Linked DNA regions of Macaca fascicularis. The protein of the gene in region 2 interacts with the protein of the main gene of each other region in a pairwise test. Links are inferred from orthologs where the notes say so. Each region holds a gene or a part of one and is shown on either strand. Other genes may lie near its edges.

Region 1 (2,665 bases), on a different chromosome or scaffold from region 2:
GTCTTTGTAATACAATATATACTTCAATATACCCAATATACCTTAAATGAATTAAAAACATGTCAACTTGATAACTGTAGTAAGGCATTTAAGTATTCAGCAGAAGCCATAAAGAAATTTCTTAATGAGTGGTGTCCTTTTCATATTAACTGGATTTAGCAGGTTTCCTTAAAATGAACAGGAAACAAAAGATATGAAAAACAGGCAGTGATGCCATTCTACTGAATTCCAGAAAAAGCACAGTACAAACAATGTGTTTTCTAGCAGGGAGACCAGACAGACCAGCAAACTGGAAATGGATGAGCGGCCCCAGCTTGCATGGTCTATTGTATTTTATCCACCGCTGAGAGAAGTGTTAGTAGCCCGGTAGGTTTGCGTAAAGGTACCAGAATCCTTAGTGCTAGTCTCATAGCCTAAAACAGAGCAGGTACTCCAGATATACTTCCTGAACTGACCTGGATGAAGAGGCTTTAAAATCAACAGAGCTGGACAGTATAAAGTTCACGGAAAAACTCCATTTTTCATTTTATTGTTTTTGGTATGTTAGTGAATGTCTACTGATCTAGTATTTCAAGTGTGGATCACGTAAACACCATGTAGAATGTAGTAAACAGAATTAAATAAGAAACACACTGGCTATCAATGCCAGAGTCTTTGAATATCAGGTCATAAATATAACCAATTGTGCAATATAACCAACATGATGAGAAGAGCACACCTCACAACTGACAATTTTAGTTCATATGATTAAAAAAAATAAAATCTGAAACTGCATTTAGTGCCACATTCTATCATATCATACATCAGATTCCATGCTGCGGAGCCGCACTGGGCTACAGGACATACAGTACATAGCATGTTTATAGCATGTTTATAGCATGTTTTAAACCGAAAGTGAAAGGGAAAATATGAAACAGAAAATTTTTACATACACATCTAACGGTGTTGTCCATTTAATTCGATTTATATGATTTGCTGTGCCACTTTGACCAGCTTGCAGAACACCCCAAATTCTCTTTTCCCCATAAAGATCTACTTCCATATAGAGTAGAAAAGGATGGTGGTAAAAAAACTTCAGGTTCTTCAGGTTCCAACGATTGTGTCCCAAATGCCACTGTATGAACACCTAAAAAATAATAAGAACAATGTCAAAATCTGCACAATTATAAATGCAAAAGTAAATACAGCTTAAAGCCTAAAAGAGAATTTGTGAATATCTCGTCTTTCAATACTTGTCTGTGTCTACTACATGATGTCGACTATAAATAAAATGTCCACTGTGGTAAATGGGAAAAAAGAAGAAGCTTTAAAAAGTTCAAGGGAGACATTTGTCAATTTCATAAATGGGTCTCCTGTTTTAGCAAAAGGCACATTCCTTTAGACCTCAATCAATCCAGGAAAGGCTCCTCACTGACATAAGGAATCAGGATATCTCACCCTCTCCCGTCAACCACCACCTGCCCTTCCTTTCTTTCTGAACAAGAACATGAGAATTTCCTATAGGGTGTAAATTCTTTCAGTTAGAACATCCAACTTTAACTTATGGGATAGTCTCCTTCTCTTTTTTTTTTTTTTTCCTGAGACTGTCTCACTTTATCACCCAGGCTGGAGTGCAGTGGTGCGATCTTGGCTTACTGCAACCTCTGCCTCCCAGGCTCAAGCAATTCTCCTAAGTTTCATGAGTAGCTGGGACTACAGGTGCATGCCACTATGCCTGGCTAATTTTTTGTATTTTGTAGAGATGGTGTTTCACCATGATGCCTAGGCTGGTCTCAAACTCCTGAACTAAAGCGACTGGCCCACCTCAGCCTCCCACAGTGCTGGAATTAGAGCCACTGGACCTGGCTGGGATCCTCTCTTTTTCATACTGCAGCTTCCCAAAGCTTTCACAGGCCTCTGCACTTCAGCTTGTCAGGAACTCAGGGCAGTGAGGTGTCCGAACCCACCTGTGCGCTCTCCCATGGCTCCTAACAACCACACTCCTGAGCATTCGGGGCCTGTGCGCGCCGCGGTGACCTCAGCTGTCTCAAGGCAGCATCTCCGTACTGAATACCCGAGCCCATTCTTTCTGGGTCCAGCTCACCTAAGGACCAAGCAAGTCTTCTTTAAAAAAAAGTTTTATGTTTCTGAGATCCCAAAAATAGATTAAAAAAAAAAAAAAAAAAAAAAAGCAAAGTACGGAACCCTGTGTATATATCCCACCACTCTGAATAAAGAGGAAAAAACAATTTACATGTTTGCTTGCACTGGCACAAAACGTCTCTAGCACGATACATAAGGAACGGCTGATTCGGAGGAGTTCTAGATGGCCGGGGACAGGAGGGGGTGGTAACAGCAGGACTTTCCACTGCATACTCTTTTATACTTCTTGAATTTCAAATTATGTGAATATATTATTTATATAAAATAATTTAAAATTAAATTACAAAGATACAATTTTTCACTTATCGGATGGGCCAAAAGTCCAAGTATGATGATACTACACACTGTGGACGTGGCTTTAGTGAAATAAGCCCATCACTAGGAGAAAATGTGACCACCTCTACACCAAGATCCCAAATGCTTATGTTCTCTGACCCAGCAATTCCACTTCTGCGTATCTGTCTGACACACAGACTCATGCACATGAAAAAAAAATATATATATATATATATATAAAAGTATT
Region 2 (3,016 bases):
GCTTACTGGTAGCATATAAATTCAGAGTCAGGAATGATGGTGATGCCAGACAGCCATGGATTGTCCACATGGGTGTCTGAGATAGTGACATCTTTGCTTTCTGATGGCTCAGTGAACATAAATGTTTCATGTATAAAACTATTAAAATATTTTATAAAATTACTCTCAGTCTACATGTATAAGATGTATATGAAACATAGATGAATTTTGTGTTTAGAATGGGTCCCATCCCCAAGGTATCTTATTATGTATATACAAATATTCCAAAATCTGAAAAATTTCAAAATCCAAAACACTTCTGGTCCCAAGAATTTTGAGAAAGGGATAGTTAACTTGTATGTGGTTTTTGCCTTTGAAGATCCTTAGTTGTTAAGAAATTAAACTAGTGACAGGCTTCTGAGATCTTTGAATCTTGAAGTATTGCACAAAGAATTTTTGCCCTCTGTTTTGAGCAGAAAGATAATAAAACCAAGAGCTCTTTCATATTAAGATCTAGAGCTGACTTTTTCTAATATCTAAAGTTTACCAATAGTGAAAGAGTTTTATGGTGATAGGATATTAAATAACTGATTTAATTTAGCATAAATAATATAATTAAATATAAACATAGAATAAGTTAGATGAGTTAAAGAATGTTGTGTTCTCAATTCTCTAGGACATTAAATTGTATGATTGGACAGATGAAGCATATTTTGGCTGCAGAACAAAAGAAAACAGATTTTAAGCCAGAAGATGAAAACAATGTTTTGATTCAATATACTAATGTGAGTAAAATGATTCAATTTGTTAATACTTTGCTAACATTTTCATTGGTGTATCCTACTGTGCCCTAGATTTTTTTCTTTTATACTTACAGATTAATGAGAAACTTATGTATTTCCTCTTTAGCTAAGCTGGTATACATTTCTGTGTAATGAGTGTAGAAAAACTTTTATAGGCTTGTGTAAAAGTCTGTGCTTACGTAAGAAAACAAGTGGAGAAGATTAAAAATTCCATGGATGGGAAGAATGTGGATACAGTTTTGATGGAACTTGGAGTACGTTTTCATCGACTTATCTATGAGCATCTTCAACAATATTCCTACAGTTGTATGGGTGGCATGTTGGCAATTTGTGATGTAGCTGAATATAGGAAGTGTGCCAAAGACTTCAAGGTATGTATACACAAAAACATCAATCTTGCAAATAGGCCCAGGAACATAAGTCAGATCATTAAAAATCACTATTTACTTACAATTAGTGAAAGGTTTATAACTTTTGTTGATATTGTATGAGATAGATTAACACATTCTACCTGAAACAGTGTTGTTCCAGTCATTTTCTTTTAATTTTAAATTTTAAATTTTATTTTATTTTCCAGAGACAGGGTTTCACAGTGTTGCCCAGGCTGGTCTCTCCTGGGCCCAAGTGATCCGCTGCCTCAGCCTCCCAAAGTGCTGGGTTTACAGGAATGAGCCACCACACGTGGCCCACATATTTAATATTAAACACATTTTTGCTTCACGGTGTATTTTCAGTTCCACAGTCTTTGACTTATTGACATCCATGACTAATGCTGTATATGTCACACATTAGGAAAATAACGTTGTCTTCATTTATGTCCCTCTGAATTTTTCTGTAACATTTAAATTATGAAAAATGCTATATATTAATAACTAGTTTTAGTCCACTGAAGTATATATGATTGTTACATTGAAGAGAATTGACATATGAATCTTTTTGAAATATTATAGTAAGTTTATTTAACTACGAAATCTTTAAGTTTTAATGCTTTGTGATCTTTAAAAAAATTCTAATATGTTGAACTCCACGCACACTAGTAAGTCCCACCTGACAGTATGTAAGAAGTTAGAAGCTAATTGTAAAACTGGAAACTGTTTTGTTTCAATGTTACTTTCTTTCTTCTCTCAATTCAGATTCCAATGGTATTACATCTTTTTGATACTCTGCATGCTCTTTGCAATCTTCTGGTAGTTGCCCCAGATAATTTAAAGCAAGTCTGCTCAGGAGAACAACTTGCTAATCTGGACAAGAATATACTTCACTCCTTCGTACAACTTCGTGCTGATTATAGATCTGCCCGCCTTGCTCGACACTTCAGCTGAGATTGAATTTACAAAGGAATTCAATGTCAGTTCCTTTACAGAGGAATTTCTTGTACTTCAGCAGGCCTCGGTTGATAGAAAGCACAGGAGATACCTTATGACACAGCCAACATTTTGTGAAACAGTGACTGGAACAAAACAGCAGCCATACTTACCTTTGAGGTTTTATTTAAAGTTTGGATACCACTAACTATATTTTGCTTTTTTCCCCTTATGTTGAATTTTAATTCCATTCTTGAATGTAGAAATTTCAGATTCTTTAAAACTACATGTCACTGTTTTCATCCTAGAAAATGTTGCTGTCAGAAGGCAAAGGAAATGTTACCAGTGTTTTCGGTTCTTGTACCTTTAACATATTCCATTTAGAAATTTTGCCATTCTGTTTTCCATTAATAATGGGCAAAATACAGGAAAACTACATTTATTATTCCTCAGTTTTTAATGACCTTTTCAGCATCAATTGTTAATCAGGTTATTTTAGGTTTTCATAAATAATTTTTTTGCCTCTTTCAAAAGGTTAACAATTAAGTTTACTTTCTGTAGTTGGTTGATTGGATTTTTTTCTGAGGGACAACATTAGTACTAGTCCAAAAAATGTCATAAACTGAACTAAAATGATGAAATATTTTATGTAGACATTAGGAGTGGATCAGAATACTTCTGCTTTCTGGGTAAAACTTAAAAGTTTACTATTTCTTATTTGGTAAATAGATTTTAAGCCAATTCTAGTAAGAAATTGATAAAACTACCTTATTTTATATTTCACTTAAGGTGGAGGACCTTAACTAAAGGACCATATTTATTCATTATTTTAATATTATAAGGGAAGTAAAAAAAGTGAGGTATAGTCTAAATAGTGCATATAAGAAATATTGACAGTGTTTAGCAACAATGCAGCCCTTTAAGATTTTC
Region 3 (3,500 bases), on a different chromosome or scaffold from region 2:
CCACCAGATTATATTGCTCAAAATTTGTCTTTTTGTTGCCATGTTTGAAAAGTTATTTTAAAATTACTATTCTAACCAATTGAATTGATTCTGGTCTGATTTTGGGTAAATGAAAAGCTCAAGATCAAAATGTGAAATGGCCAAATTTGAATAATTGGTCCATGGACTATGTTTTACCTCTCTCTCACCCCAGCAACAGATACATGCCTCAACTCATACCTCTGAAACACACATCTGAGTGTGATGCATCGTCACAGAGAGTGTGGGCTTTGGGAACAGACGCACAGAAGATCAAAACACATCTTGCTCAGTCAGCAGCGTGTGACCTTTACAAGTTGCGTATCTTCTTGGAGCCTCAATTCTCTCATCCGTAGAATGGCCTTACAGCTTTTTAGGGGGTGCTTGGAGTTAATGAGATATCAATAAACACTGCCACTCAGTTTCCTCAGGTCAAAACTTAGGAGTCATCCTTGACTCTCTCCTTTTCTCTTTGTCACCAGCTTCAGGTCTGCAGCACTGCCTGTTGATTTCACATTGAAAACAACTTTCATCCATCTCCAACCCTCTTCTCTGCTGCCATATCCCTAAACCAGGTCATTGTCACATTTCATCTGATTGCTATAGTAGTCCCCTAATTGTCTTCTTGCTCTTTTGTCCCTCTGCAGTCTATTTTCCATCCAGGAGCCAAATTAATCTTAGCAGATGCAGAGTAGATCATGCCATCACTTCCTTTGCAGAAGTACCCAGTACTTTCCCATTGTATTTAGAATGAAATCCAAATGACTTTTTACGCCCTACAAAGCTACCCAGTTTGGCCCCTGCTTACCTCTCCAGCTTCATTTTGAACTTTTCCCCCATGCTCTTGCTTCCCTGACCTTTTCCTGTTTCTGGAGCACACCAAACTGGCTCCAGCATTAGGGTGTTTGTTGCTGCTGCAGATGCTGGAGACGATGCTCCAAGTGGCAGCTCCTCATCGGGCAGGGCTTAGCTCAATCAAGCATTCTTCCCTCCAGGAGGCCTTCCTGGTCACTCAATCTAAAGTACATCCCCTTCTTTGGCCCCTTCTCAGTTTCTCTTTATTTCCTTAGTAGCAGTGATTATTGTCTGTAATGACCCTTCCTTGTTTGCTCGTCTATTGCCTTTCTTTTTCCAGTTAGACTCTGATCTCCATAGTGGGAGATGGCCCTTCTCTGTCTTGTTCACGGCTATGTCCCAGCACCTAACACAGTCCTTAGCAGATAACAGGCACTTGAAAAATATGTGTGGAATGGATGCATGACGATTTTATGTAGAAAGTAGTGTAGATACAGTGCCTCAGACTGGGCTGGCTAATTTAGTTCTCCATAGAAGTTGGGGCTCTTTCTCCATCAGTCTAGTGCTCTTTGACCATTATAAAAACAACTTGCAGCCGGGCGCGGTGGCTCACGCCTGTAATCCCAGCACTTTGGGAAGCCGATGGGGGTGGATCACCTGAGGTCAGGAGTTCGAGACCAGCCTGGCCAACAGGGTGAAACCATGTCTCTACTAAAAATACAGAAAAAGTAGCCGGGCATGGTAGTGGGCGCCTGTAATCCCAGCTACTTGGGAGGCTAAGGCAGGAGAATTGCCGGAACCTGGGAGGCAGAGGTTGCAGTGGAGATCGCACCACTGCATTCTAGCCTGAACGACAGAGACTCTGTCTCAAATAAATAAATAAATACAAAACAACTTGCTCAGAGTGTCTCTGACACTGAGTTGGAGCAGATATGCAGAATGACTAAAATGATAAGTACATATTCCTTTTCTCGTTTGTGTCGCTCCTCTGCTTCCTTCATCATTTCTTGGGCCTGCTCAAGCTTTGCATCCACCAGCTTCTGCTGCAGTTCTCTGTGTTTAAATATTTTGTCCAGATGCTAAGAAAAATAAAGTACACATAGAAAGTTTGGTTTATTATTGGTGCTTAAAAATGCAAAATAAAATAATTCACATTAATATACATTCTCCAGGTTTTAAGATGTAAAAGAAGAGAGGGATAAATGCATTGGCATCACTTACAGCTTTATACTAAAGCTGTAAATTGGTGAACCACGCCCACCCCCAACTTTGCACCACACACACAAAGGTAGCTACAAAAGGTAGAGGCACCAGAGTTCAGCAGTGTCAACACCAAAAGATCCATACAATATTTTTCTACATTTGGTAACTATTAGATATGATGCTATTTATTATGTTAGACAGCGCAGACAATCATCTATCAGTATACAATATACAGGGGCTGCAGTTGTATTATTTGGTATTTTGGCTCTTTCTGTGACTATAAAACCACTTTTAATCACAACATTGGTGCAATTTATCATGATGAATTCTCCGCATTCTTGCCTCTGGCGTTGTGAGAAAGTCTTGGGGTGCCAGCATGTGGTCTGAGGTCTGGGAGTGAGGCCTGAGCCCCCCTGAATTCTACTCTGTTGCTCTGGTGGGGATGACAAGGCCAAGGGTCATAGAGAAATTGATTTGCAAATATGCAGAGCTCGCCACACCTTTTGACCTCTGGACTAGTTTGGTGAAGAGAAACTTACAACTCTACCTCAGTATGGATAACTTCCTGGTCACTAGGAGGTCCCATCAGAAACAGGACATGGAATTCTACCCTTGGGCTTTACTTAGAACCAGTCCCAGGAATATACAACTAGTATAGCAGCCCATTCCCATCTGAGATCTCTCTGAAGAGTATGGATATTTTGCTTTCACTCCTTCCTTTCTTCTTTAGTCTGAACCTCCACTCTGGAGCAGGATTGATCCTCGTGACAAGATAAAATGGTAGCATGGCATTTTGGCTTACTGTGAGGAGTTTCTTGATTTACCTAACCACTGCGACCATATGCTGTTGGCTCAGTTTTGTGCTTGATAAAATCTTAGCATGTTGCCAACGGAGCCGCTTTGACTATGTTATGTTACATTTTAAAGCAGAGATTTAAAATTTGGGTGGGATAGGGAACAGAATATGATGTATCAAAATCCTGAGAGGGTATTTGGAATCTTAAAAACATATTAAATATTAAAATATAATTTGGTGATAACAAAAGACGTTGATCATCCCCCTAATATAACCTATTCAAAGTAAAAGGCTTTTGGCTCTTGTGACTGTGGGTAAGTGGTTTAATCTCTTAGCTTCTGCTTCCCATCTATAATATATTATTAACTAGTGCATAAGATTGTTGAGACAATTAAATGCCATATTGTATGTAAAGTTCAGCACTTAGCACATTGCCTGATACAAACTAAGCACTGAATAAATGACATAATTATTATCACAATGATGACATTATTAATACTATTATTGGCCTAGTAGGGTACAGACTCTTTTTTTTTTTTTTTTTTTTTTTTGAGATGGAATCTCACACTGTCTCCTGGGCTGAAGTGCAGTGGCGTGATCTCAGCTCCCTGCAACCTCCGCCTCCCAGGTTCAAGCGATTCTCCTGCCTCAGCCTCTTGAGTAGCTGGGATTACAGGCACCCACCACC
Region 4 (3,500 bases), on a different chromosome or scaffold from region 2:
CTGAGGTTGATTTTCACCCCACTTTGTTCACTGAAGTCCCCAATGTTGATTATTTCCTTCCTCAAAACACTCCTTTCCCATATTTTAATCTGCGCTATTCTTGTTCTCCTTCTCTCTCTCTAAATGCCCTTCTATTTTTACCCCTATGGGGAGAGGCTCCAATGCCTGATTTTAATAGATTCTCAGGTGACGAAATCTGACAGTATCTAGGTAGATGATGCTTCAATTTATTTCTCTAATGGCTGCAACTTCAAAATGCTCACTAGACATTTTTATACTTTCCTCAAACTGAACATGTGACAAAAACATACTACCTTCCCTGTCTAAACCAATTCAACATCCTTCTCTCACTAAATGACACCACCATTATTCTAGCCCCTAAACCCTGGATTCCCCTTTGACTCCTCTTCCCCTCCGCCTTGTTAACGCTTTATCTGCCTGTCTCTTTTCTCCTGCTCCCCACTCCCACCTCAGCCTCCCACTAAATGTTGCCATTTAGGGAGATGGTCTAACAGTGGTTTTCAATGAAAACTGCAAACCAGAATCATATACCAGACTTTCTGAAAAGACAAGAGGTGCACATCCTACTGATACTAGAACACTGGGGGCCCAAGCAAGAACATTTTTAAAGAGGCTACAAGTGATTCTGATGCACAACCAGGTTAAGAATCACTGGGTTGGAATATAATGGTTCAAAGCATGTCCTCAGCCAGAGAGAGGCACAAAGACTGGCACCGCCACTCACTACTAAGGTGACCCTGGGCAACTCACTTGAGCTCCTTGATCCTCAGTCTCTCTTTCCATCAAATAGGAATAACAGCATGTGAGGTAGCTAAGAAGATCAAATAAGGTAAAGCATTTAAAGCATTCAGCAAAGTGCTGGGATCAAATAAGCACTCAATAAATGCTATCTATTCTTACCATTGTTGATTCTTAACAGTTCCTCTCTAGTGGAAGTACATTATACTATTAGCAAAATGGTACAATGCCTCCGGTTTTCTTGTCTCTAAGTCCTCCTTGTCTATCCTATATGCTATCTCTAAATTAATATTCTAACACAACAAATTTCCCCTCCTAGATGCCTTCACTGATTCCAGATTACCAACTGAACCAAGTCCATACTCCTTAGCTCAACATTTAAGATCTCCATCACTTGATCATGACTTTTCCAACCTTATTTGCAGCTATTGTGCTACCTAAATCCTGTGTTCCCCAGCTGGATTTATTATCAATCCTTTCATGTATTTACACTAGACTTTTGAAATCCAGCTTTTATTTTTTGGGATACTACCTATTATCAGGACTCAGTGAAGATGGCCCTTCTTCCACCAAGTCTTTCTTCCAGTGTCAGTGCTCAGCCCCTCCTCTGATGATCTAGACTTGTGTGTGTGTATTACACTTCTCGTTCTTATCTGTCTCCGACTGTTTTCTCTGCATATTATTTCCCATTGGATTATCTCTTTCTGAGTAACAACCAAACTTATTCTTTGTTTTCCTTCAACCATTATTTATTGTTTAAATTCTAAATTTTTTATTTTTTTGAGACAGGGTCTTGCTCTGTCACTCATACTGGAGTGCAGTGGCACGATCATAACTCATTGCAGCCTCAAATTCCTGGGCTCCAGTGATCCTCCTGCTTCAAGCCCCCAAGTAGCTGGGACTACAGACATGCACCACCATGCCCAGCTAAGTGTGTGGGTTTTTTTTCTACAGTTAGGGTCTCACTACATTGCCCAGGTTGGTCTTAAACTCTCAGCTTCAAGTGATCCTCCTGCCTCAGTCTCCTGAGTAGCCTGGGATTACATGCATGAGCCAACATGCCTGGCTTCCCCCAACACTTATAATGGGGATACATGTCTTCTAAATAGAATATGCTGAATAAGAATTTGCTATATAAGCTATCTACCATACACAATTTTTACAAGATCCTTCCCTAAAACTTTGCGTGTACTGAGTAGATATTTGCATAATGAAGAAACGCCTCCATTGTATAGACACTTTCAGTTAATTATTAATGAGTGCTTGGCATTAAAATTAGACTTCTATGGCTACAAATGCAGGTTTTCATACATTTATGAACTTCCTCCAAATTACCTGTAAAATTACACTTCTAGAACATCTAGAATTCTGTTATCACCAACTTAAATGTACACTCAAATTCAGTTTATTCACAGCTATCTTCCCTGCCAAAAATGTACCTTAGTACTTTAAGGCCATAAAGACTTTGGTGAGGAACTCTCTGTACCAATTTGCGTTTGAGAGGTTACAAAAATCACACTGTATCTTACCTGTACAATTCCGTTTACATGAAAACACATCACAAGCTCTGGTACATTGCATATCAAGTTGTCCAACCAATAGTCAATTCCAGTTAGCACATTAATTGGTTTGTTGTTATCCCTAAAAATATACAGTTCTAGCGTTATTTGGTTTAATTAAGATGTTCCTTAATGAATCATCTGAAAGTTATTTTATCATTTAAGTATTTTAAGCTGTCCTCTCTTGATAGAAAACGCCATCTATGCTTTCTTTTCTGACAAGATATGCACATGCAGCTCAGTGGTTGTGCTATACTTAACAACTTTCCAAAAGCTTGCTTGTATTTCTTTTTTTTTTTTTTTTTTTGAGATGGAGTCTTGCTCTGTCGCCCAGGCTGGAGTGCAGTGGCCGGATCTCAGCTCACTGCAAGGTCCGCCTCCTGGGTTCACGCCATTCTCCTGCCTCAGCCTCCCGAATAGCTGGGACTACAGGCGCCCGCCACCTCGCCCGGCTAGTGTTTTGTATTTTTTTTTAGTAGAGACGGGGTTTCACCAGGTTAGCCAGGATGGTCTCGATCTCCTGACCTTGCGATCCGCCCATCTCGGCCTCCCAAAGTGCTGGGATTACAGGCTTGAGCCACCGCGCCTGGCCGCTTGCTTGTATTTCTAACTGACACTGGTAAGTTTTCAGTAAGAATAGAAGACAATATGATAGGAAAGGACTGTCAGCCTACTGCCTGCTCCTCACACAACTTGAGAAAGACTGAATACCATACAAGACCATGCTTAAGTTAGAATTCACACTGGCTAATGTCAACAAATACATGTGGAGCATTAAGCAAAATGCTCACAAGTAGTTAGTAGGAAACTCTCTAACTAATTAAATAAACTGTCTTGAATATTCTCACAAGTCGTAGGTTCAGACCTAAGACTAGTTCAGTCCAACAAACCTCTGGCTCTATTCAATGAGGTCTAGAATGAAGACTCGACTATAGGCCTGCCTTTCAGCATTTGTTGATAGTAGCTCCTTCCTTAATGCGGCCATTTCAACTGGCAAGGGAAGGAGGGAGGTGAAAAAACCTAGAGAAAGAGGAAGATGCCCAAACAGATGGAACACTGATTCTTTCTTTTTCTGAGACAAGAGTCTTGCTCTTTCGCCTAGGCTGGAGTGCAGTAGCATGATCTTGGCTCACTGCAACCTCAGCCTGATGGAACAGATTTTAAAGGAAGAATTTAAATACC
Region 5 (3,500 bases), on a different chromosome or scaffold from region 2:
AAGCTGCAAGGGCACAGAAGGCTACAGCACTACCCAGAGGAAAGGTTGTACCTATGTGCCTAAGAATGAAGACAACACAAGGGAAGCAGATCTGAGACCACATAGATGCCTTTCATATCCTTTGAGCTCCTGGATACAGCCACACCTGAAGCCTTTGTTGATTTTTTTTTTTTTTTTTTTGAGACGGAGTCTTGCTCTATCGCCCAGGCTGGAGTGCAGTGGTGTGACCTTGGCTCACTGCAACCTCAGCCTCCCGGGTTCAAGCGATTCTCCTGCCTCACCCTCCTGAGTGGCTGGGACTACAGGCGTGGGCCACCACACCCAGCTAATTTTTCGTATTTTTAGTAGAAATGGGGTTTCACCATGTTAGCCAGGCTGGTCTCGATCTCCCGACCTCGTGACCGCCATGCCTCAGCCTCCCAAAATGCTGGGATTACATGCGTCGGCCACCGTGCACGGCCATTGATTTTTCGTTTCTTTCCACCTAACAGTTACCTAATTTTGAAGTCTTTAAAAAGTGGCATTCTTGCCACTTACACATAAATATACACTGAATATAAACTGACAAGGATGTGGACTGAGAGAAGCATAGCAGGTGACCAGAAGGGAAGGCAGAGGCATAGAAAGGGGTCGAAGCTGGGGTGGGACAGTAGACAGCAGCAGTACTCACTGGACCAGATGGGAGGCCAGGACTTCCTTGCAGATGGGCTGCTCGGCCAGCGTCAGCCAGAACTCACAGGCCTCAAGGGCAACGTTCTCGTCATGGTCCTGGGTCCTCTGCAGCATGTACTGTGATAGCGGGGAGAAGCTGAGGCCTGGCCTGGGTAGGGGTGGCTCCCTGACCCTTGCCACCGGCCCCTTGCCTGCCTTCCTGGGCTGGCCTCGACCATGCACACCTGGATGATGCTGTGCATGTGGGGGATGAGCCTGTCGATCCGCACTTCCAGAAGCATCACCAGGGCGCGGCACACATTCTTCCGCACCTCGGGGTCATCATCCACGGCCAGGGCAAATAGGTGCTGCAGGGAGGAAAAGGGTCAGCTGTAGGGGCCCTTGGTCCTCACCCTGTCCACCCCCAGCCCAGCGTCCCACCTCAATGAAGGTGTCAATATTGTCCATCAGCGCCTGAGCCCGGTCCATGATGAACTGGTTCACGCAGGCGATGGCGTGGGACCTGGCGGGGAGCAGACACACGGGTCACCCTGAACCTGCCCACTCCAGGCTCCCTGAAGCCCCCAGAGAGCTGCACCCACCGGATCTTGGGACTGCAGTGCTTGAAGAACTGCAGGAACTTGGGGATCATGATGTTGAGGGGCCTGTTGAGCGCGTCACTGTCCAGAAGCTCTGATGAGTCTTCGCAGATCTTCTGCAGGGCTCCAAAGGCTCCCTGAGTGCAGAGGGGCAGAGAGACAAAGGTGGGTGGTGGGTGGTGGTCCCAGCCCCCCATACCCGCTCCGGCCATCTATGGCTTCTCGCCTACCTCACAAGTGTTGTAATCCTCCGAGTTGAGCAGGTTGCAGAGCTGGGGCAGCAGCTCGGGCCACATCTGCAGCTCACCCTTGGAAGCGATGGTGGTGATGAGAATGCCTGGGGCGGCCAGGAAAGGACGCTGCCTGAGGCCGGGCGGGGGCTGCCCAGCACCTCCCCTCCCACTGGGCACCCCCAGTGCTGCCTTTCTGTCCCCTAGCCCATGTATGCCCTCCACATCCCCCCCCTTTTTTTTTTTTTTTTGAGACGGAGTCTCACTCTGTCGCCCAGGTTGGAGTGCAGCGGCCGGATCTCAGCTCACTGCAAGCTCCGCCTCCTGGGTTCATGCCATTCTCCTGCCTCAGCCTCCCGAGTAGCTGGGACTACAGGCGCCCGCCACCTCGCCCAGCTAGTTTTTTGTATTTTTTAGTAGAGACGGGGTTTCACCATGTTAGCCAGGATGGTCTCGATCTCCTGACCTCGTGATCCGCCCGTCTCGGCCTCCCAAAGTGCTGGAATTACAGGCTTGAGCCACCGCGCCCGGCCTGTTTTTTTTTTTTTTTTTTTAAGAGATAGAGTTTGCTCTGCTGCCCAGGCTGGACTGCTGTGGCACAATCATAGTTCCCAGCAGCCTCGAACTCCTGGCCTCAAGCCATCTTCCCGCCTCAGCCTCCTGAGTCGCTGGGACTGCAGGCACATGCCACCATGCCCAACTAATTTTTAACATTTTTTGTAGAGATGGGATCTCACTATGTTGCCCAGGCTGGCCTGAAACTCGTGGCCTCAAGCAATCCTCCTGCCTCGGCCTCCAAAAGCACTGAGATTACAGGCGTGAGCCACCGCTCCTGGCCTTGACATAGGTAGAAGGGTACTCCTTGACTCAGTAAGCACCCTGAACCTTACTGTGAGTCAACTCTGTTCCAGGCCCTAAAGCACAGCACAGAGCAAAACACAAAATCGTCACCCTTGGGAGCTGGAAGTAAGCTACGAAGTAAAGATAAATTAGCAAAAAAACTGGGACGGGCCGTGCATAGCTGGCTCATGCCTGTAATCCCAGCATTTTAGGGGATCTAGGTGGGTGGATCACTTGAGGTCAGGAGTTCGACACCAGCCTGGCCAACATGGCAAAACCCCGTCTCTACTAAAAATACAAAAATTAGCTGGCTGTGGTGGGGGGCACCAGTAATCCCAGCTACTCGGGAGGCTGAGGCAGGAGAACTGCTTGAACTTGGGAGGCGGAGGTTGCAGTGAGCGGAGATCGCGCCACGGCACTCCAGCCCGGGACGGAGCAAGACTCCATTTCAAAAACCAAAAACAAAAACAAACAACTGGGAGGGGCCACATGCCAAGGACTAAAGGGGAGAAATATAGCAGAAAAGATGGTGAGAAAGGGCTGTAGGTGAAGCTAGCAACTTTAAATTGGGTGGCCAGAGCAGGCCTCATTGAGGTGACATCTTGATATCGAGGCAAGACCTGAAGGAGGTGAAGCAGGCAAGGGAGGAATCATCCAGGTCTCTGGGAAAAGGGCATCTCAGGCAGAGGACTCTATGGTGCGAAGGCCTGGCGTAAGGACAGGCATGATGTGCTAACAGATAGGTAAGGAGCCACTGGGGCTGGGCAGAGAGTGGGAGGGGAGAGAGGGAAAGGAGGTAAGGCAGGAAGGTGGCAGGGATGCTTGTACTGCCTATTAGACATCCAGGAGTCACATACAGCAGGCATCTGAGGTGCCAGGACAGTGCACGTATCTGGTGACAGAGCTGGATATGGGTTCTGTTAAGTGCAGAGATGGTTATTTACTGCCACAAGATGGCACTGTTTCCCAAGGGTGGAAACTGTCCATGACAGAAAGGTGCTCCCTGCAGTGGGTAGGTATAGTGAGGACCGTGGAACCTTAGCCACATCTCCTCACTCTCTGCACCTCAGCGCTTCCAGCCCTCAGAAGAGATAAAGAAAACCAGCCTCGGACACGCGCGGTGGCTCACGCCTGTAATCCCAGCACTTTGGGAGGCCGAGACGGGCGGATCACGAGGTCA
Region 6 (3,500 bases), on a different chromosome or scaffold from region 2:
TGCCCTCAGCCACCTGCCAGGCGATGTCCAGCAGCTCCGAAACGGGCAGGACTTTCTTGTCAGAATCTGCAGAGGGGAGGGGAGCCTGGGGTCAGCTGAGCCAGCTGCGGTAGGGACGGGGTGGGGAGGCTGGGCTGTGTCTCATCTGCCTCCAGGCTCTGCGGCCTCAGAGGAGGGGCCGGGGCAAAGGGCAGCTGGCCTGGTTGAAAATTGGAACTGCAGGTCAGCCACCGCCCTTGTGGAAGGCAACTGTGTGTCAAGAACCAAGGAGCAAGCCAGGTGTGGAGGCTCACGCCTGTAATCCCAGCACTTTGGGAGGCTGAGGCGGGTGGATCATGAGGTCAGGAGGTTGAGACCATCCTGGTGAACACGGTGAAACTCCATCTGTACTAAAAATACAAAAAATGAGCCGGGCGTGGTGGTGGCGCCTGTAGTCCCATCTACTCGGGAGGCTGAGGCGGGAGAATGGTGTGAACCTGGGAGGCGGAGCTTGCAGTGAGCCGAGACCGCGCCACTGCATTCCAGCCTGGATGACAGAGTGAGTCTCAGAAAAAAAAAAAAAAAAAGAACCAAGGAGTGGTTCCTAGTGGCCTAGCCCAGCGATTTCCTTTCTGGAAGTTTGCTATGACGCGGGAGAAGCTCGACGCGGAAGGACCAGCGAAGAAGCTCATGACTGCGTGATGTAGGCGGCGGGAACTTGAGCAGGATAATGGCTGAGTGACAGCAGCATGCGGCCTGGTGGTGCCTGTTAACCCCCCGTTCCGTCCCGGAGGACCCTGAAGGGCGTGGGGACTGTCTGAGATGATCACGGAGCCTTTCACTCAGAGCTCAAACGTGAGTGGCACCTCAATGTAGCTCTCCTCAGACACACACGGCATTTTTCCTCCACCACAACGTTCCCTCCCATTCTAACATTGGAATCCAAACTGCGTCTTCACGCACGGGCATCTCAATTCCCTGCAGCGATTGTCTTTGATTTTGGTGATAAAGGAAATAATGGAACTTAGAGACGATGAAGTCTTTGAGCCAATGTGATCTGTGTGTGTGTGTGTGTGTGTCTGTGTGTGTCTGTGTGTGTGTGTCCGTGTGTGTGTGTCCGTGTGTGTCCGTGTGTGTGTGTCCGTGTGTGTGTGTGCCTGGTGTGTCTGTGTGTGTGTGTCTGTGTGTGTGTGTGTGTGTGTGTGTGTGTGTGCCTGGTGTGTCCATGTGATCTGTGTCTGTGTGTCTGTGTGTGTGTGTCCGTGTGATCTGTGTGTCTTGTTTGTGTGTCTGTGTGTGCATGTGTGTGCATGTGTGTCTGTCTGCATGTGTGTCTGTGTGTATGTGTGTGTGTCTGTGTGTGCCTGGTGTGTCCGTGTGATCTGTGTCTGTGTGTCTGTGTGTGTCCGTGTGATCTGTGTGTCGTTTGTGTGTCTGTGTGTGCATGTGTGTGCATGTGTGTCTATGCATGTGTGTCTGTGTGTGTGCGTGTGTCTGTGTCTGTGTGCATGTGTGTCTGTGTGTGTGCGTGTGTCTGTGTCTGTGTGCATGTGTGTCTGTGTGTGTGCATGTGTCTCTGTGTGTGTGCGCGTTTGTCTATGTGTCTGCGTGTGTGTGTCTGTGTGTGTGTGTGTGTGTGTGTGCGTGCAGACGTGGGGGTGTGTGTGCACTTTATTTCCTCGTGCACCCCCTTTACCTCCAGCGAGAGCCCCGGCCCGTGCCACTCACCACGAAGCAGCTCCAGCAGGCTGCCCTTGCCCATGAGCTCCGTGATGATGTACACAGGGTCCCCCACGGACACCACGGCGTACAGTGCCAGGATGTGTTTGTGCCGCAGCTTCTTCATGGCCTGGATCTCCGACTGCAGCGTCTGCTGGTGCAGGAGGTTGTCTGCGGGGATGGGTGGCCTTGGCAGGTGCAGCCCCTGACCCTCCCCTGGCCCCAAGGAAGAGGCCAAGGCAAGGCTCTGCCCACACACTCAGCAGCTGTGCAGAACACCGGACCTCCTGCCCCCGACAGGGCACCTGGCTCCTGAGGCCACAAAATGGCGGACACAGCCGGCCCCACAAGCCACCAGCCTGGCGTACCCATGGGGCCGTGGTGGCCCCCCAATGTCTTCCTGCGCCCGGCCCAGACCTCTGACGTGGAGGCCAGACCTCTGCTGGGGCCCAGGCAATTTCCAGGGAAGCTTTTCTTTTTGAGAGGGTGTCTCGCTCTGTCACCCAGGCTGGAGTGAGTGGGCGCCATCTCGGCTCACTGCAAGCTCCGCCTCCCGGGTTCACGCCATTCTCCTGCCTCAGCCTCCCGAGTAGCTGGGATTACAGGCGCCCGCCACCTCGCCCGGCTAGTTTTTTTGTATTTTTAATAGAGACAGGGTTTCCCCATGTTGGCCAGGCTGGTCTCAAACTCCTGACCTCATGATTTGCCCACCTCGGCCTCCCAAAGTGCTGGGATTACAGGTGTGAGCCACTGTGCCAGGCCTGAAATTTTCTTTTACAATAAATGTATTTAGGTAAAAACAGGTGCAGTTGAAAGGGAACCACTCCTGCATGGGTGCTGTGGGTGCTGCGTGGGGCTCGAGGCCAGAGGTCCCTGTTGGCGGGGCGGGAGGGTGGCCCAGGGCGGGCACGGGGCCACACAGAGCCCTGACCGGGGCTCACTCACCTCGAGAAATCACCTTAATGGCCACCTGGACCCGGTCTTTCCAGAGCCCCTCGAAGACCTCCCCAAAGTAGCCAGACCCCAGCTTCCTGCAGAGCGTGAACTCCTCCCTCGGCCTCTCCCAGTCATCCCAGTGGGGCAGAGGCTCAGGCTCACGCTGGAGGGAGAGTCGGGGACACAGGGCAGAGGCTCAGGCTCATGCTGGAGGGAGAGTCGGGGACACAGGGCAGGGGCTCAGGCTCACGCTGGAGGGAGAGTCGGGGACACAGGGCAGGGGCTCAGGCTCACGCTGGAGGGAGAGTCGGGGACACAGGGCAGGGGCTCAGGCTCACGCTGGAGGGAGAGTCGGGGACACAGGGCAGAGGCTCAGGCTCATGCTGGAGGGAGAGTCGGGGACACAGGGCAGGGGCTCAGGCTCACGCTGGAGGGAGAGTCGGGGACACAGGGCAGGGGCTCAGGCTCATGCTGGAGGGAGAGTCGGGGACACAGGGCAGAGGTTCAGGCTCACGCCGGAGGGAGAGTCGGGGACACAGGGCAGAGGCTCAGGCTCATGCTGGAGGGAGAGTCGGGGACACAGGGCAGGGGCTCAGGCTCATGCTGGAGGGAGAGTCGGGGACACAGGGCAGGGGCTCAGGCTCATGCTGGAGGGAGAGTCGGGGACACAGGGCAGGGGCTCATCCTTCAGGAACTGCCAGTCTGAAGCCAGCGCAGGGAGCCTGGATTTAGCCTCAGATTTAGAGCCACGTTCAGCTTGGGTTGGGGGTTTCTGAGTGTCTGACACGAGGCTGGACTCTCCCGGTGGCTGCCCCAAGCCCAGCACAAAACACCCGGAGAGACTGAAGCCAGGACCCTGCAGAGTG
Region 7 (3,453 bases), on a different chromosome or scaffold from region 2:
ACCAATTACTAATCTGAGGGCCTCCTCACAGGTCCAAGGGCAATGAGTAACCTCGAGAAGCAGGTGACTGCACAAGCAGTAAGCTATGGATTAAAAATTAAAAGGATTTCACATTCTTTCCAAAGTGTACTGCCCAGTGTCTGGCACACACATGTTACAATATGACAGTCTGCTCTATTTGTGAGCACCCGAGTTTATTACAGGGGATTACACATGCGTATGATAGAATCTGGCTCCCAGTACAGTCAAGGGAGAACAGCATCAGCCAGCAAATGTGCTGATCTTACACTGAAAATGGTTGACTGAAAACATTTCAAGGGTGATGCAAACACAAGAATAAAACTGTGGCTCTATTAGTGATGTGGTTTTATATGCTACATATGTAGACCTCTCTTTATACAACAAATACAGACAGTGCTGCAATAAAAACTGATGACACATCAACTTGTTCACCTGAAGAAAATAAACCCTATTATAGTTCAGAAAATAATGCAACCAACTTTAATCTAGATACAGGTACTTTATTTACAAATATTTAGATTAATAGCATTTTGTTACATCAAATGAAGAGTACAGCAGTCTGAATAAATCCTTCGGTCACAAAAACAATAAAACCCACTGTAACTAACTTTGGGAGTCAGGGTATTGCACCTCAACAAGCCGCAGTCTTTCGTTTGTGATTGCCACCTTATATCCCAATGGGTGGTTTGTTTGTTTTGTTTTTGTAAATATACACACACACCAGCAGGTCATGGTCCCTGGGTGAATCCCTTGTGATGCAACAGTGTAAGCAAAATGGATCACTGTAGTCTTTAACAGAACATACCAATCTACTCCAGAAATCCTATTTTTTAAAAAGTTAAAGACAAAAATAAAAATGAATCCACAAATTAACCAAAGCCTATTTTCTGCACATTCCAGTTTTGGCTTTTATTTAACATTGACTATACAATACTCTGGTACTACCACATGTTTACAACCCAAAAAGATGTACTTTTATGTTAGTGTCTGTAAAGAGGGATTTAAAATGTGTATTTTAAACACAGCAGTTGAGCTGAGTGCATTTTCTATAGTGCGCTGAGGTGTTACCTATTCTACTTCAAATAAACTCTCAATTCCCAGCCACTGAATCAAACACAGTAAGAAAAATCAACAGAAATGAAGAACTTAAACATGTTTGTTGTACAAAGAAATAAGATTGTTTCTCTTGCTATACAGTATTAATTCAGTGGCCAAACCACCTAGTGCAAAGTAATAACTTACTTTGTATCAGCACAAGCACTGAAACACCTTTAGAAACACTTTCCCTTTTATGAAACAATTTATGCCAACATGACATAAAACAGCCCCTCATACTATGAACACAGGGATATCTTATTTCACTGTAGTGTTAAAAATGCACAATTTAAAATCCCTTAACAGCAGACCTGTGGTTCTGACTGTCCAGTTCAGAATCTGACCATTCCAAGACGATAAAGGTATAAAAGCTTAAAATGTGCAATAATAAACCCAGCCTTTTTTCTTTTCCTATACAGTAAGGCAAGAATGCAGCCTGTAATGCAAAAACGTTTACAAAAAGAGAAAAGCAGGTTAGCACATTGTCGATTGCACAAGAACAGTTAAGAAAATCAGCAGGTAAGCAACAGTGCAAAGATGGAACAGAATCTGCTAGTGTTAATCCTCTGATGCTAGGAGCTTTTTCCAGCATAATGTCCCCAAACACTGCCAGCACCAAGGGGTGGAGCCAGTACTACTTGTGAACTGCAGTGTGTCTATTTCTTTGTGTGAAATGGAAGGGAGTAACATGGTCACATATAGGTCATACTGTACAAACTGGTATTTTATACTGTTCCAATGCCAGTAATCAATTTATTTTCTTCATTAAAATAATATACACAGAATGTATTGTTAGTTCGATTCCTTCAAATTTTATACATATTTACTTTCTGTTAAAGAGAAAAGGATAAAATGGTATAAAAAAAGATAAAGCTATTAATTAAGCACGAGAGATAAGATAAATGGATATTTTCCCTGTGCGAGGCTAAGAGAGAAGCAAACCTCGTCAAGAAAAATGCCACCCACACAACAGGAAATTTATCCAAAACAAAACAAAAGCAGTTATAGAACCCCTTCTCTACCATCAGAAGTCATTTCACAGCAATAAACTTATTGGTTACAACAGACATACTTGAACAGTTAAGGATGGGTAGAAAGGCTTAAGATATCATCAAATTAAACCGTACAGTGAGACAAAGCCTTGCCAAAGAGGGAGGGTAAAAAATCATGAAGTCCAGCATCAGTGCTCAGTTTAAATCATATATTGGTGACATACTTATCACGAGGACAAGGGGGAAAAAAAGTCTAGATTTACCATGCAGGAGAGATTTATTACTCTACTTGCCTTTGATAACCTGATTACATCTAGTTGTTTAGCAGTTTAGTATTGTGTTAAACTGTTTTTACAACAGATTTTTGTTTTTTCTTTTTTTTTAATTAAACCCAGTAAGATGTACAGAAGACAATGAGGCAGTAAAAAGTACTGCTTTCAACAGACAGAGGTGAAAGGTCAAATGAGGGGCCACGGCAAAGAGGTCACTAGCAGCCACAGCCTTCTCTCTGGGGTTGGGGTTCACTGGTTAGCCGGCCTCCCTGCGGGGCTGAAGGTTTGTGTTGTACACCAGACTCAGCAGCATTCAGATCCAAGCTTCCATCCTGAATGTTCTGATATATTTTCTTGGCAGCCTCAAGGAAGGCATCTTCTACATTCTCTCCCCTAAGAGGCAATTGATAACTTTATTGGAGAACCACAGTTTTCTACAAAAGACAAGACATTATATACTGACCTTTTGTTAATCTTTAGTTAACTGCCATGATGTCTTCAACTTAACCATTGTCATCTAGTAAAAGATTACCAGAACACTGAGCTAAGAGAACATGGAAAACTATTTTCTTTTCCTTTTCTTTTTTTTTTTTTTTTTGAGACAGAGTCTGTGTCACCAGACTGGAGTGCAGTGGTGTGATTTCAGCTCACTGCAACCTCTGCCTGCCGGGTTGAAGTGATTCTCCTGCTTCAGCCTCCCAAGTAGCTGGGACTACAGGAGCACACCACCACGCCCTGCTAATTTTTGTATTTTTAGTAGAGACAGGGTTTCACCATGTTGGCCAGGATGGTCTCGATTGCCTGACCTCATGATCTGCCTGCCTTGGCTTCCCAAAGTGCTGGGATTACAGGTGTTAGCCACCATGCCCGGCCGGAAAACTATTTTCTGTGGAAAGCATACATACATACATGTACCGAAAGCCCTTTCTACAAATCGTATTTGGACAACTACATGTGTTATATGCAATCATTAAAATACTGTATGTTAATACACACCATGACGACTGAGATATGTCATTTCTGTGATAACAGAGAGGATACTCCAAACAGAAATGAAATCTCTCCAAACATGC

The links.
Region 1: the proteins of EXOC5 (region 2) and RAB4A interact in binary tests that used the Homo sapiens proteins (3 or more experiments, as listed by UniProt). The two-hybrid records come from large-scale screens. The link is inferred for Macaca fascicularis from reciprocal best matches to the Homo sapiens genes EXOC5 and RAB4A.
Region 3: the proteins of EXOC5 (region 2) and TXLNB interact in binary tests that used the Homo sapiens proteins (3 or more experiments, as listed by UniProt). The two-hybrid records come from large-scale screens. The link is inferred for Macaca fascicularis from reciprocal best matches to the Homo sapiens genes EXOC5 and TXLNB.
Region 4: the proteins of EXOC5 (region 2) and EDRF1 interact in binary tests that used the Homo sapiens proteins (3 or more experiments, as listed by UniProt). The two-hybrid records come from large-scale screens. The link is inferred for Macaca fascicularis from reciprocal best matches to the Homo sapiens genes EXOC5 and EDRF1.
Region 5: the proteins of EXOC5 (region 2) and TNPO2 interact in binary tests that used the Homo sapiens proteins (3 or more experiments, as listed by UniProt). The two-hybrid records come from large-scale screens. The link is inferred for Macaca fascicularis from reciprocal best matches to the Homo sapiens genes EXOC5 and TNPO2.
Region 6: the proteins of EXOC5 (region 2) and PTK6 interact in binary tests that used the Homo sapiens proteins (3 or more experiments, as listed by UniProt). The two-hybrid records come from large-scale screens. The link is inferred for Macaca fascicularis from reciprocal best matches to the Homo sapiens genes EXOC5 and PTK6.
Region 7: the proteins of EXOC5 (region 2) and RAB14 interact in binary tests that used the Homo sapiens proteins (3 or more experiments, as listed by UniProt). The two-hybrid records come from large-scale screens. The link is inferred for Macaca fascicularis from reciprocal best matches to the Homo sapiens genes EXOC5 and RAB14.

Annotation. Positions count from the first base shown.
Region 1 is NC_088375.1:19,804,956-19,807,620, forward strand, and holds the end of RAB4A (ras-related protein Rab-4A), read right to left. Parts: intron 2,084-2,665; coding exon 1,968-2,083; 3' UTR 1,947-1,967; intron 1,127-1,946; 3' UTR 501-1,126; downstream 1-500. UniProt on the Homo sapiens protein: The small GTPases Rab are key regulators of intracellular membrane trafficking, from the formation of transport vesicles to their fusion with membranes.
Region 2 is NC_088381.1:125,050,627-125,053,642, reverse strand, and holds part of EXOC5 (exocyst complex component 5), read left to right. Parts: intron 1-655; coding exon 656-764; intron 765-937; coding exon 938-1,153; intron 1,154-1,915; coding exon 1,916-2,104; 3' UTR 2,105-3,016. UniProt on the Homo sapiens protein: Component of the exocyst complex involved in the docking of exocytic vesicles with fusion sites on the plasma membrane.
Region 3 is NC_088378.1:43,308,908-43,312,407, forward strand, and holds part of TXLNB (beta-taxilin), read right to left. Parts: intron 1,893-3,500; coding exon 1,773-1,892; intron 1-1,772. UniProt on the Homo sapiens protein: Promotes motor nerve regeneration. May be involved in intracellular vesicle traffic.
Region 4 is NC_088383.1:134,692,555-134,696,054, reverse strand, and holds part of EDRF1 (erythroid differentiation-related factor 1), read right to left. Parts: intron 2,401-3,500; coding exon 2,289-2,400; intron 833-2,288; exon of another isoform or gene 805-832; coding exon of another isoform or gene 772-804; intron 1-771. UniProt on the Homo sapiens protein: Transcription factor involved in erythroid differentiation. Involved in transcriptional activation of the globin gene.
Region 5 is NC_088393.1:13,102,777-13,106,276, forward strand, and holds part of TNPO2 (transportin-2), read right to left. Parts: intron 1,588-3,500; coding exon 1,481-1,587; intron 1,388-1,480; coding exon 1,254-1,387; intron 1,175-1,253; coding exon 1,093-1,174; intron 1,020-1,092; coding exon 897-1,019; intron 790-896; coding exon 671-789; intron 1-670. UniProt on the Homo sapiens protein: Probably functions in nuclear protein import as nuclear transport receptor. Serves as receptor for nuclear localization signals (NLS) in cargo substrates.
Region 6 is NC_088384.1:119,662,504-119,666,003, forward strand, and holds part of PTK6 (protein-tyrosine kinase 6), read right to left. Parts: exon of another isoform or gene 3,179-3,500; intron 2,798-3,178; coding exon 2,644-2,797; intron 1,870-2,643; coding exon 1,708-1,869; intron 67-1,707; coding exon 1-66. UniProt on the Homo sapiens protein: Non-receptor tyrosine-protein kinase implicated in the regulation of a variety of signaling pathways that control the differentiation and maintenance of normal epithelia, as well as tumor growth.
Region 7 is NC_088389.1:36,808,744-36,812,196, reverse strand, and holds the end of RAB14 (ras-related protein Rab-14), read right to left. Parts: intron 2,774-3,453; coding exon 2,596-2,773; 3' UTR 501-2,595; downstream 1-500.